Linked DNA regions of Sus scrofa. The protein of the gene in region 2 interacts with the protein of the main gene of each other region in a pairwise test. Links are inferred from orthologs where the notes say so. Each region holds a gene or a part of one and is shown on either strand. Other genes may lie near its edges. The genes, in order: UNC119 and ARL15.

Evidence for each region.
Region 1: the proteins of ARL15 (region 2) and UNC119 interact in binary tests that used the Homo sapiens proteins (3 or more experiments, as listed by UniProt). The link is inferred for Sus scrofa from reciprocal best matches to the Homo sapiens genes ARL15 and UNC119.

What each region holds. Positions count from the first base shown.
Region 1 is NC_010454.4:44,804,475-44,808,834, forward strand, and holds the start of UNC119 (protein unc-119 homolog A), read right to left. Parts: upstream 2,861-4,360; 5' UTR 2,768-2,860; coding exon 2,548-2,767; intron 1-2,547. UniProt on the Homo sapiens protein: Involved in synaptic functions in photoreceptor cells, the signal transduction in immune cells as a Src family kinase activator, endosome recycling, the uptake of bacteria and endocytosis, protein trafficking in sensory neurons and as lipid-binding chaperone with specificity for a diverse subset of myristoylated proteins.
Region 2 is NC_010458.4:33,572,682-33,577,282, forward strand, and holds the start of ARL15 (ADP-ribosylation factor-like protein 15), read right to left. Parts: upstream 2,868-4,601; 5' UTR 2,853-2,867; coding exon 2,670-2,852; intron 1-2,669.

The DNA.
Region 1 (4,360 bases), on a different chromosome or scaffold from region 2:
AGCCACCTGGCACGATGGGGTCCAGCAAAGACTAGAAGGCTTATGGAGGGGCCTGAGCAACAGCTTGTCCACCACAGCCCATGGTGGGGAGAGGATAGGGGGCAGAATGGAAGTAGGCAGCTCCTACCTACCTCACCCTGTACACACTTTATTTTCACAGAAAGTAAGCATTAATCCAGAGCTGCAGAAGGAAGCTGTAGGGCATAGGAAGAGGATATGACAAAAGTGGGAACGGCATCCTAGTGGCCCAAGTCCCAGCTCCCCATGAAGCCCTCCTTCGTCCCCCGTTTTCTAACTTCTGGGACCTCTCCTCTCATTTGAGAACGCCTTGCAGTCTGGCCTCAGTCTCTCCTGCTGCAAACTCAACCTTTCAACCCCTCTGTCCTTAGAGGAAGTGAGAAACAAGGATGCCCATGGTTCAGGACACCACATCCACTCCCTCCCTCTACCAGAGAAGGATAAGGCCAGGGACCCGGGGTCAGCCCAGATAAGGGGCAGCGTAGCCAAGGGTTCAGAACACAACTGCTCCCTTCCTCTCGGCCACAAATAGCTTCCTAAGCTGGATTCAGCGCTGGGTAATCCGGGCAGAGCAAACCTCAGACCTGTGTGATTAGGGTCAGAAGAGGCCGTGGGGGGAGAGTCCTGGAGCCCTGTTCTCAACTTCTGCAAAGGAAAGGGCTCCTGTGAAACCCTCTCCTCTACTCATCCCCCACAGGTGTCACATCTCAAAGAGCTATGAATTTCTTCCCGATTCCGAGACAAATGTACATGGGCTGGAAGCCCCCATAGCTGCAAAATAACCTCTAAAGTTACCTAGGACCTGGACAAGTTAGACCCTCAGTAAAGAACTTCTGCCCCAGGAGTTCCCATTGTGGCATATTGGAGATGAATCTGACTAATATCCATGAGGATGCGGGCTCGATCCCTGGCCTCGCTCCGTGGGTTAAGGATCCAGCATGGCCATGAGCTGTGGTGCGTAGGTCGAAGACACGGCTCGGATCCTGCATTGCTGTGGCTCCAGCTCCGATTCGACCCCTAGCCTGGGAACTTCCATATGCTGTGGATGTGGCCATGAAAAGCAAAAAAAAAAAAAAAAAAAAAAAAAAGAAGTTCTGCCCCAGACTAACCTGAACCCTAAATGCTGCTGTTGCCAATGACAGTCCAACTGGCACCAACATCAGACTAGTCCAGGTACCTTCCCTCTACCAGCGCCGGCTCAGGCAAGGCAGCTCAGCGGCTCTGGGGGCCCAGCCAAGAATGGCTGCCTGGCTTAGCGAGGAGGAAGAGGCTGGTCCCCCAGGGACCCAGATGCACAAGCCTAGACCTGCTGTCAGGTCCCCTTCACAGCTCTGACTGGAAGCCCCGGGCTCTGCCGTTCCTGCAGCTCCAGAGCTAAGGTCCACTCCAGCATTTGCCCCCCACCCCCACCGAGAGGCCCCAAGAGCTACTGTCACAGAGGGAGCCAGGGTAGGGTTACTGATCAATGAGGTCGAGGTAGAAAGCCACTGCCTCTCCAAATGCTGTGTTCTTTGACGCTCAACCACTGCCTCTGCCATGAGACTTCCTGGTCCTTGTTGCCTGCCTCTGGTGACCCCCTCCCCTGCCCTGAATGCCCAGTTGTCTGCCTCTCAGCAGCAGCTATGAGCAGTCCTGTGGGGCCCTCAGTACTATTGATAAAAGAGCCCTATTTACAGGGCATGCACAACGCCAGGCACGGTGCAAAATCAGAGGATTTATTTTCACAATAGCTCTGTAAGGTAGGAGTTATTATCCCCATTTTACAGGTGAATATGTGCAGAGAGGTGAAGTTATGAGCCCAAGATCATACAGCCAATTACACGACAAAGCTGGAAGTTCAGCTTAGGCAGGTCGAGCTCAGAAACTCAGCCACAGTGGAGACTTGGCCTCCCAGAAGAGGTCAGGCCCTAGTCCAGGCTGCGTGGGGTGGCGCGGGGGGGGGGGGGGGCATTCATTAACCCACTCCCTTGAGAGAGCCCAGAGCCAACCCACTGAAGTTTCCTCTTCAGGTTCTTTCCGGGGTAGGAGGATGGCTTCAGACTTCCTGGGGTGTCCAGGGTGAGGGCATTAACGATCAGGGAGACAGGAGGGTTTTGATACCACCCAAGTAACTCTGCCTCCACCAAGCCTCCAGGGTGGAGACTGAGGACAGACTGCCCTTAGCCCCCCTCCTCGTTATTGCAGAGAAAATCTTCACAGGGTTCTGAGGACTGTGGGGAAGGGGTCACAGTAGCAGCTGCTGCCCACCTCCACCCTTGGAAAAGGGGGATAGACTCTTCAAAAAGGAAAGAGTCGGGTGGAAAGAAATCTCTACAGAAAGAAGGGGGCACAGAGAGATATCAAAGGAAGGAGGTACATGGAGATCTCAGGCCCAGAGGCAGAAGGATAGGGGACACCGGCCAGGGAGACCCGGGTGGGGGAGGGGAGGCAGGGGAGGGAGGGAAAGGGGGCGGGGGCCCGGGCTCCGCGCGCCTCGAGGGCCCTCTCTAGCTCCCGCCTGCCGGCGGCGTTCCCTCGCTTGGTGCTCACCGCCCGTGATCCGCTGCAGCCCCAGCACGTCCTCCGGCCCGATCGGCTGCTTCCTCTGCAGCGGCCCCGGCCTGGGCCCCGAGCCTGCCTCCGGCTCCGACTCGGACCCGGACCCGGATTCCGCCTGCGGCTCCAGCTTGGGCTCCACGCTTGGGCCCGAGGCCCCTGAAGCGGGCTCCGCCGCCGTCCCGGCCCCGCCGCCGCCCTTCTTCACCTTCATGGCCTCGCGGGGCCGCGGCTCGCCTGCTGCCGCCGCGGCTGCCTGCGCCGGCTGGAGCAAAGGGGGAGCGTCCGCAGCCCCGCCCCCGCCGGGGCCCCAGGTACCGCCCCGCCCCCGGGGTGGGCCCAGAACTGGCCCCGCCCACCGCCCGCCCACCTGAGCTACTCACGCGGGCAGGGTTGAGGCTCGCTCCCAGGTTCTCTCATTTTTGTTCCCACTTTTATCTGTAGGAATTTTAAGGCTACCTTCTCCTTACTCGCTGTACTCCAGCCGCTCCGCCCTTCTCTCCGCCCCTCAAAAGAGTTCCCGCCTCAGGGTCTTTGCCTGGGATGCTCTTCCCCCAGAAGGCCTCCTCTTGTCCTTCTAGTCTCAGCTCAAATACCTCTGCTCAGAGGCCCTCTCAGACTCACAATCTCAAGTACCAATACCAACCCCCAGTCACTATCTGATCAGCCTATTTTTTCTTTCTAAAGCATTATCTGAAATTAGTTTCGTTTGTTCACTCTTTCCCCCTTAAAGACCAATTACTTAAAAGCAGAGGTCCTATCCGTTCTCTAAAATACCACTCAGCACCTTGCATAATGCCCACTGCAGCCTGTGCTCAATACAGCTGGCCCTTGAACGACATGAGTTTGAAGTGTGTAGGGCCACTTATATGTGCACTTTTTTCCAATAAAAAATACTACACAATGGAAGGTTGGGTGAAACTGCAGATGCGAAACTGCTAATACCCAGGGCCAATGATAAATTATACTCTGATTCTGAATGCACCGGAAGGTGGGTGTCCCAACCCCTGCATTCTTAAAGGGTCAATTTTATTTTATTTTTGAATTTATGAATTAGTTAGTATCTGAGGGCTTACACCAGTAAAAGCTATTCTCTCCCAAACCCCCTGCTAGACAAGCCAGGACACACTGAGGGACAATAGCCTACAAGATTCTAGCCACCACAGGGCCCTCCAAGATAGGGAGGCAGGAAGGGCACATAGCCAGTAGAAGCAAAGTGGACCAGTGAGCCCAGGAGGACAGGCATCAGGAAATCATTACTTAAAACACAAATGAATGAAAGTTACACTCATACTTCATATAATTCCAATTCACATTCAACCAACGTTTATTGAGAGCCTAGAATATGCCAGACACTTTCACATGCTCATCCATTTAATACTCACAACCACCTTGTAAGGGAGGTATCAGTGCTATTTTTAAATGAAAAACTGAGGCTCAGGGAGGATTAAGTGGCCTACTCAAAGCTCCCCAGATGATAAGGGCAGAAGCAAGGGTTTGAATTCAGATGTGTTTGATCCCAAGTCCGGAATTTTCCCCACCGCACCATACTGCCTCTAGGTAAAGATAAAGGCAACCTCTGCCACACACAGCAATAGGCTGCACCCAACAGGTGTAGCCAGCCTGGAGCAAGGGGAGTAAGGGAGAAGGCCCCAGAGGTGACAGGAGCCCAGCCCTTTCCATGGGAGCAGTGCTAGGGCTCTCCCTGAGGGCCTGGAGGGCAGAGCCCTAGAATCCAACCCAGGGCTTTCCCCCAGTGCTCCCTCTCAGTGCAAGAGGACTGTGGGGAACAGGGCAGAGGCACAAG
Region 2 (4,601 bases):
AGCCCTACTTGATAGCCATATTATAAGGAAATAAGGACGGTAAACCAGAAAAATCAGCTATTTATCATCAACTATAACATATGCTCATTGTGGAGTTCCCGTTGTGGCACAGCAGAAACAAATCCAACTACGAACTATGAGGTTGCTGCAGGTTCGATCCCTGGCCTCCTCAGTGGGTTAAGGATCTGACATTGCCTTGAGCTGTGGTGTAGGTCGAAGACACGGCTCAGATCCTGTGTTGCTGTGGTGTAGGCCGGTGGCCGTAGCTCCGACTGGACCCCTAGCCTGGGAACCTCCATATGCTACAGGTGCAGCCCTGAAAACAAACAAACAGAAAACCACACACACACACAACCACCTTATTTCTTGATAGTTATTTCAACATGTGAAAAAATGCTTTTTGAAAAATAAAGATGCTTTCAAGACTGAGATCAGCCACTTAAACTCATATTAAAAGATCAATTCTGACTGGAAATTAACCAAACCTTAAAAACCAATTGCCATTGGATTAGAAGTCTGTTTTCAAGAAACAGATTGTAATATGTCCTTAGTATACCCTAATCAAGAACATATTAAAACATAGTTCAAGATAATGAAATGTAATATATTAATTCCCTAGGAACTTTAATAATGTTAAAAAGACCTAGTCATTTTTTATTACTCAAATGACTTTATCACATTTGTAATTATATAATGATAATAATCCAATTTTACAGGATTTCCTTCCCATAACCCAAGAAGACCTAGTCATTTCTTTTAAAAATTACAACTTAAAAACCTTCTGTAAACAAACTGACATGCCTGCCTTCATAACACCTATGACCCCAAAAGCCAAATCATATCTTTTACAGTCTCAAAGTTGACAATTCAGATCATTCTTGTAAATGATAGACACTTTTTTACTGTTTAAATTGTTTTTATTGTTTTATTTTTCTGAACATCTTCTCTTCCTCAAAGACTTTATAGATACTGTGTTTCATGTTGGTACAAGTTGGGCCTTCAGGGAAGCAAACACTGACAAAGAATTAGAAATACAGAAGGTTTATTAACATACAGCACCTGTGAAAGAAAATAGCTGTGGGATTAAGATGGGGGTAGCAAGTAACCACAGAACATTATACACACCTAACAAAGCCTCTACTGGGAACTCCCAAGCAAAAATTGCCCAATAGAGACGACCAAGCTGGGCAGAAACAGCTAGACCTTTGTACCAGCAACTTGTTTCGTCATTGGTTGAGGGGGCAACTTCAAGAAGGAAGAATCCCAAGAAAAGTACCAACCCCAAGGTTGAAGCAGAGCCTGAAAGAGCTGACAGCTGCAAACTATCAGCTCATTACACGCCAGGCAACTGCATGAGTCCTTTCTTGAATTTTGCTTCTCCTTGTCAGCTGCTTGTGGTATGTGAACTTCTTTCGGTAGCCTAGCTTGGTACCTTACATATAGCCCTTACACCATTCAAGACTGGTGGGTTGCTAAGCATGTGGACTTTGCCATTTACTACAACCAACCCTGTTGTGTCATTGTGTCACTGCTTGAACATACTTAGTACCTTCTGAGATGGGCAGCTCTGAGAGTGAAGAGAAAAGTTAACAAATCCACCTGACCCCACAATCAACATCCTGAAATCTCACAGCAAAAGTCAGATGAAATAAAGTTCCCAGTACCACATATTAATAAGATAAAGAATTTCCTTCCCTATTTACAGAGTAACTCTTCACCCCTTTGACTGCTGTAGAAGTATTAAGACAACTCCCTCACCTCCATTTGGCAGTAAAAGAATGAGATCCACAAAGATAGAATTAGAGACATGAGCTTATGAGAGATGAACCATTTTGTAAGATAGTGGCTACAGAGGTGGCAGTTAACAAGACAGAACAGAGAAAAGGTTGACTCCTCAATTCTTGAGTGGAGAAAGCCAGAGAGAAGCAAGCCGATTCCCGCTACAGGGCTCCCAGCAGCTCAGGGAAAAGAAGCACCTGAGGCTGAAAATACCAAACTGGCGTGAGTCTTATTTTTTGCTGTTGTTGTTTTTAATTTTTATTTTTGGCCACTCTTGTGGCATTTTGAACCCACACTGCAGCAGCGTCTCAAGCCACAGCAGTAACACCACCATATCCTTAATCCACTGTGCCACAAGAGAACTCCAGCTGTGAGTCTTAAAGACTCACTTGAGCCCATTGATCTGCCCCACTCTGCAAAGCCAGGTCACCATCCCACCAGTGCCCTGAACAAAGACCAGCATGAAAGTTTCCTTCTGAGATTAAACTGGAAAGGGTTTGACCTCACAGATACCAGGTAGAACCTAAAAGCAAAGAGTAAATTCAGTAGGAGTAGAAGAAAGCTAAGGAAATCACCAAAAAGGTAAATGAAAAGCAGTTGGGTAAAGGAAATTAGCATATCAACCTGGAGACATAAAACCCACTTAGATGTTTCAAAACAAAGAAAGAAAAACAGTAATGCTGGTGGGAAGAAATTATCAAGTAATTCTAGCAAAGCTTCTATAACCCAATTTTCAGACCCAAAACACCACAAATGTGCACAACTTTAAGTGAAAAAGACACATTACCATTAAAGAAATAGCAATTTTAAAACCTTCCTACAGAAGCGCCACGCCACAGTGTACAATCAAGTTCTAATAAACAATCCAGAACAAAAAGTTCCAATCTTACAGCTATTCCAGAGTTGGTCTCTTCTGAGGCCTCTCTCCCCAGCCGGCAGACACACGCCTTCTCCGAGTCCTCACCTCCACCGATGCGTACCCCCCTAACGTGGGCTGCTCTTTGCGGCCTAAAGCTCCTCCCCTTATAAAGGCTCCAGTCAAATTGGCTTAGGGTCCACCATGACCTCCTCATTTTTACTTAATTACCTCCTCAACAGCCCTATCTGCCTACCCAATCACTATCTGAGGTACGGGGGTTAGCACTTGAACCTGTGTATTTGGGGGTGGGAGTAGGCAATTCAGCCCTTAACAACATTCCAGGTTGGCAATATATTCAGATTGTGAGGGATAGTTACAAAAACCTTACACAAGTGTATTCAATGATACAACATTTAAAAGCCTTTGCTTTAAAGTCAGGAAAAAGATAAGGGTGCCAATTATCACTGCTTCTGTGCTGTTATAGCAAAGGCCCTGGACAGCATTATCAGACAAAAATATAAACAATAAAAATGGAAAGAAGCAAACAGCTCATCTGCAGATTGTGGTCGTGTGTGTAAAACACAAATCTACATATCAGTTATTAAAATGAAAAAATCGTGTTACTCCTTAAAAATCAATATAAAATTGGGTTTCTAGTTACTTAGCAACAAAGTTAGGAGATGTATTTTATTTTTTTAATTTTTTTATTTTTGGAAAGAACACTTTTATTTATTTATTTATTTATTTTTCATTTTTTTATCTTTAATTTTTTTAACAATGATCATCACAATCCAGTTTCACAGGATTTCCATCCCACAACCCAACCACATCCCTAAACCCCCCAAACTGTCTCCTCTGGAGACCATAAGTTTTTCAAAATCTGTGAGTCAGCATCTGTTCTATAAAGAAGTTCAGTCTGTCCTTTTTTCAGATTTCACATGTCAGTGAAAACATTTGATGTTGGTGTCTCATGGTATGGCTCACCTCACTTAGCATGATAATTTCTAGGTCCATCCATGTTGCTAAAAAATGCCAGTATCTCGTTCCTTTTAATGGCTGAGTAATATTCCATTGTGTATATGTGCCACATCTTCTTGATCCACTCCTCTGTCGATGGACATTTAGGTTGTTCCCATGTCTTGGCTATTGAAAAGAGTGCTGCAATGAACACTGGAGTATGTGTGTCTTTTCGAGTCATGGTTTTCTCTGCATAGATGCCCAGGAGTGGGATTGCTGGATCAAATGGTAGTTCTACGTTTAGTTTTCTGAGGAATCTCCACACTGTTTTCCACAGTGGTTGCACCAATTTACAATCCCACCAACAGTGCAATAGGGTTCCTTTTTCTCCAGGAGATGTATTTTAAAATAACCTTTAAAGTAGAAATTCTAAAGGCACCTAAACATAATCCTTACGACCATAGGATTGTGAGAGAAATCTAAAACTTGAATACATGTGATGTTCATGGATGGAAAGACTGTTTTAGAGGTGTAATTCTCAAGTTGATGTATCAATTCAACATGATAACATTCAAAATCACAGAGGGTATTATGTCGAAACACTTCTTAACTACCCTTAATTTGAAGATAGTGCCCTCCTCTCTGTGGCTGAAGCACTTATGCATATTTATATGCTGGTATTTATCATGCTGTTTTGTGTATAGTTGTTAACAGTATACGTGCTATAGCCAGCTGCCCGGGTTTGAATCTTAGCTTTACCTCTTTCCAGTTCTGTGACCTCAGGCGTGTTACGTAACTTCTCTGTAACTTATTTACCCCATTTGATAGATAAGGAAACAAACGCATACATCACTGGGCTATTAGGATTAATAGTTACTGTTATGCATTTAGAACAGTGCCTGGCACATAGTCAGCGTTGTGTAACTGTTGGATGCTGTTACTGTTTCTGTTTTCTCTCTCACTAGGCTCAGTTCCTTAAAGGAAGGACACAGTGTCTCACTGGTTC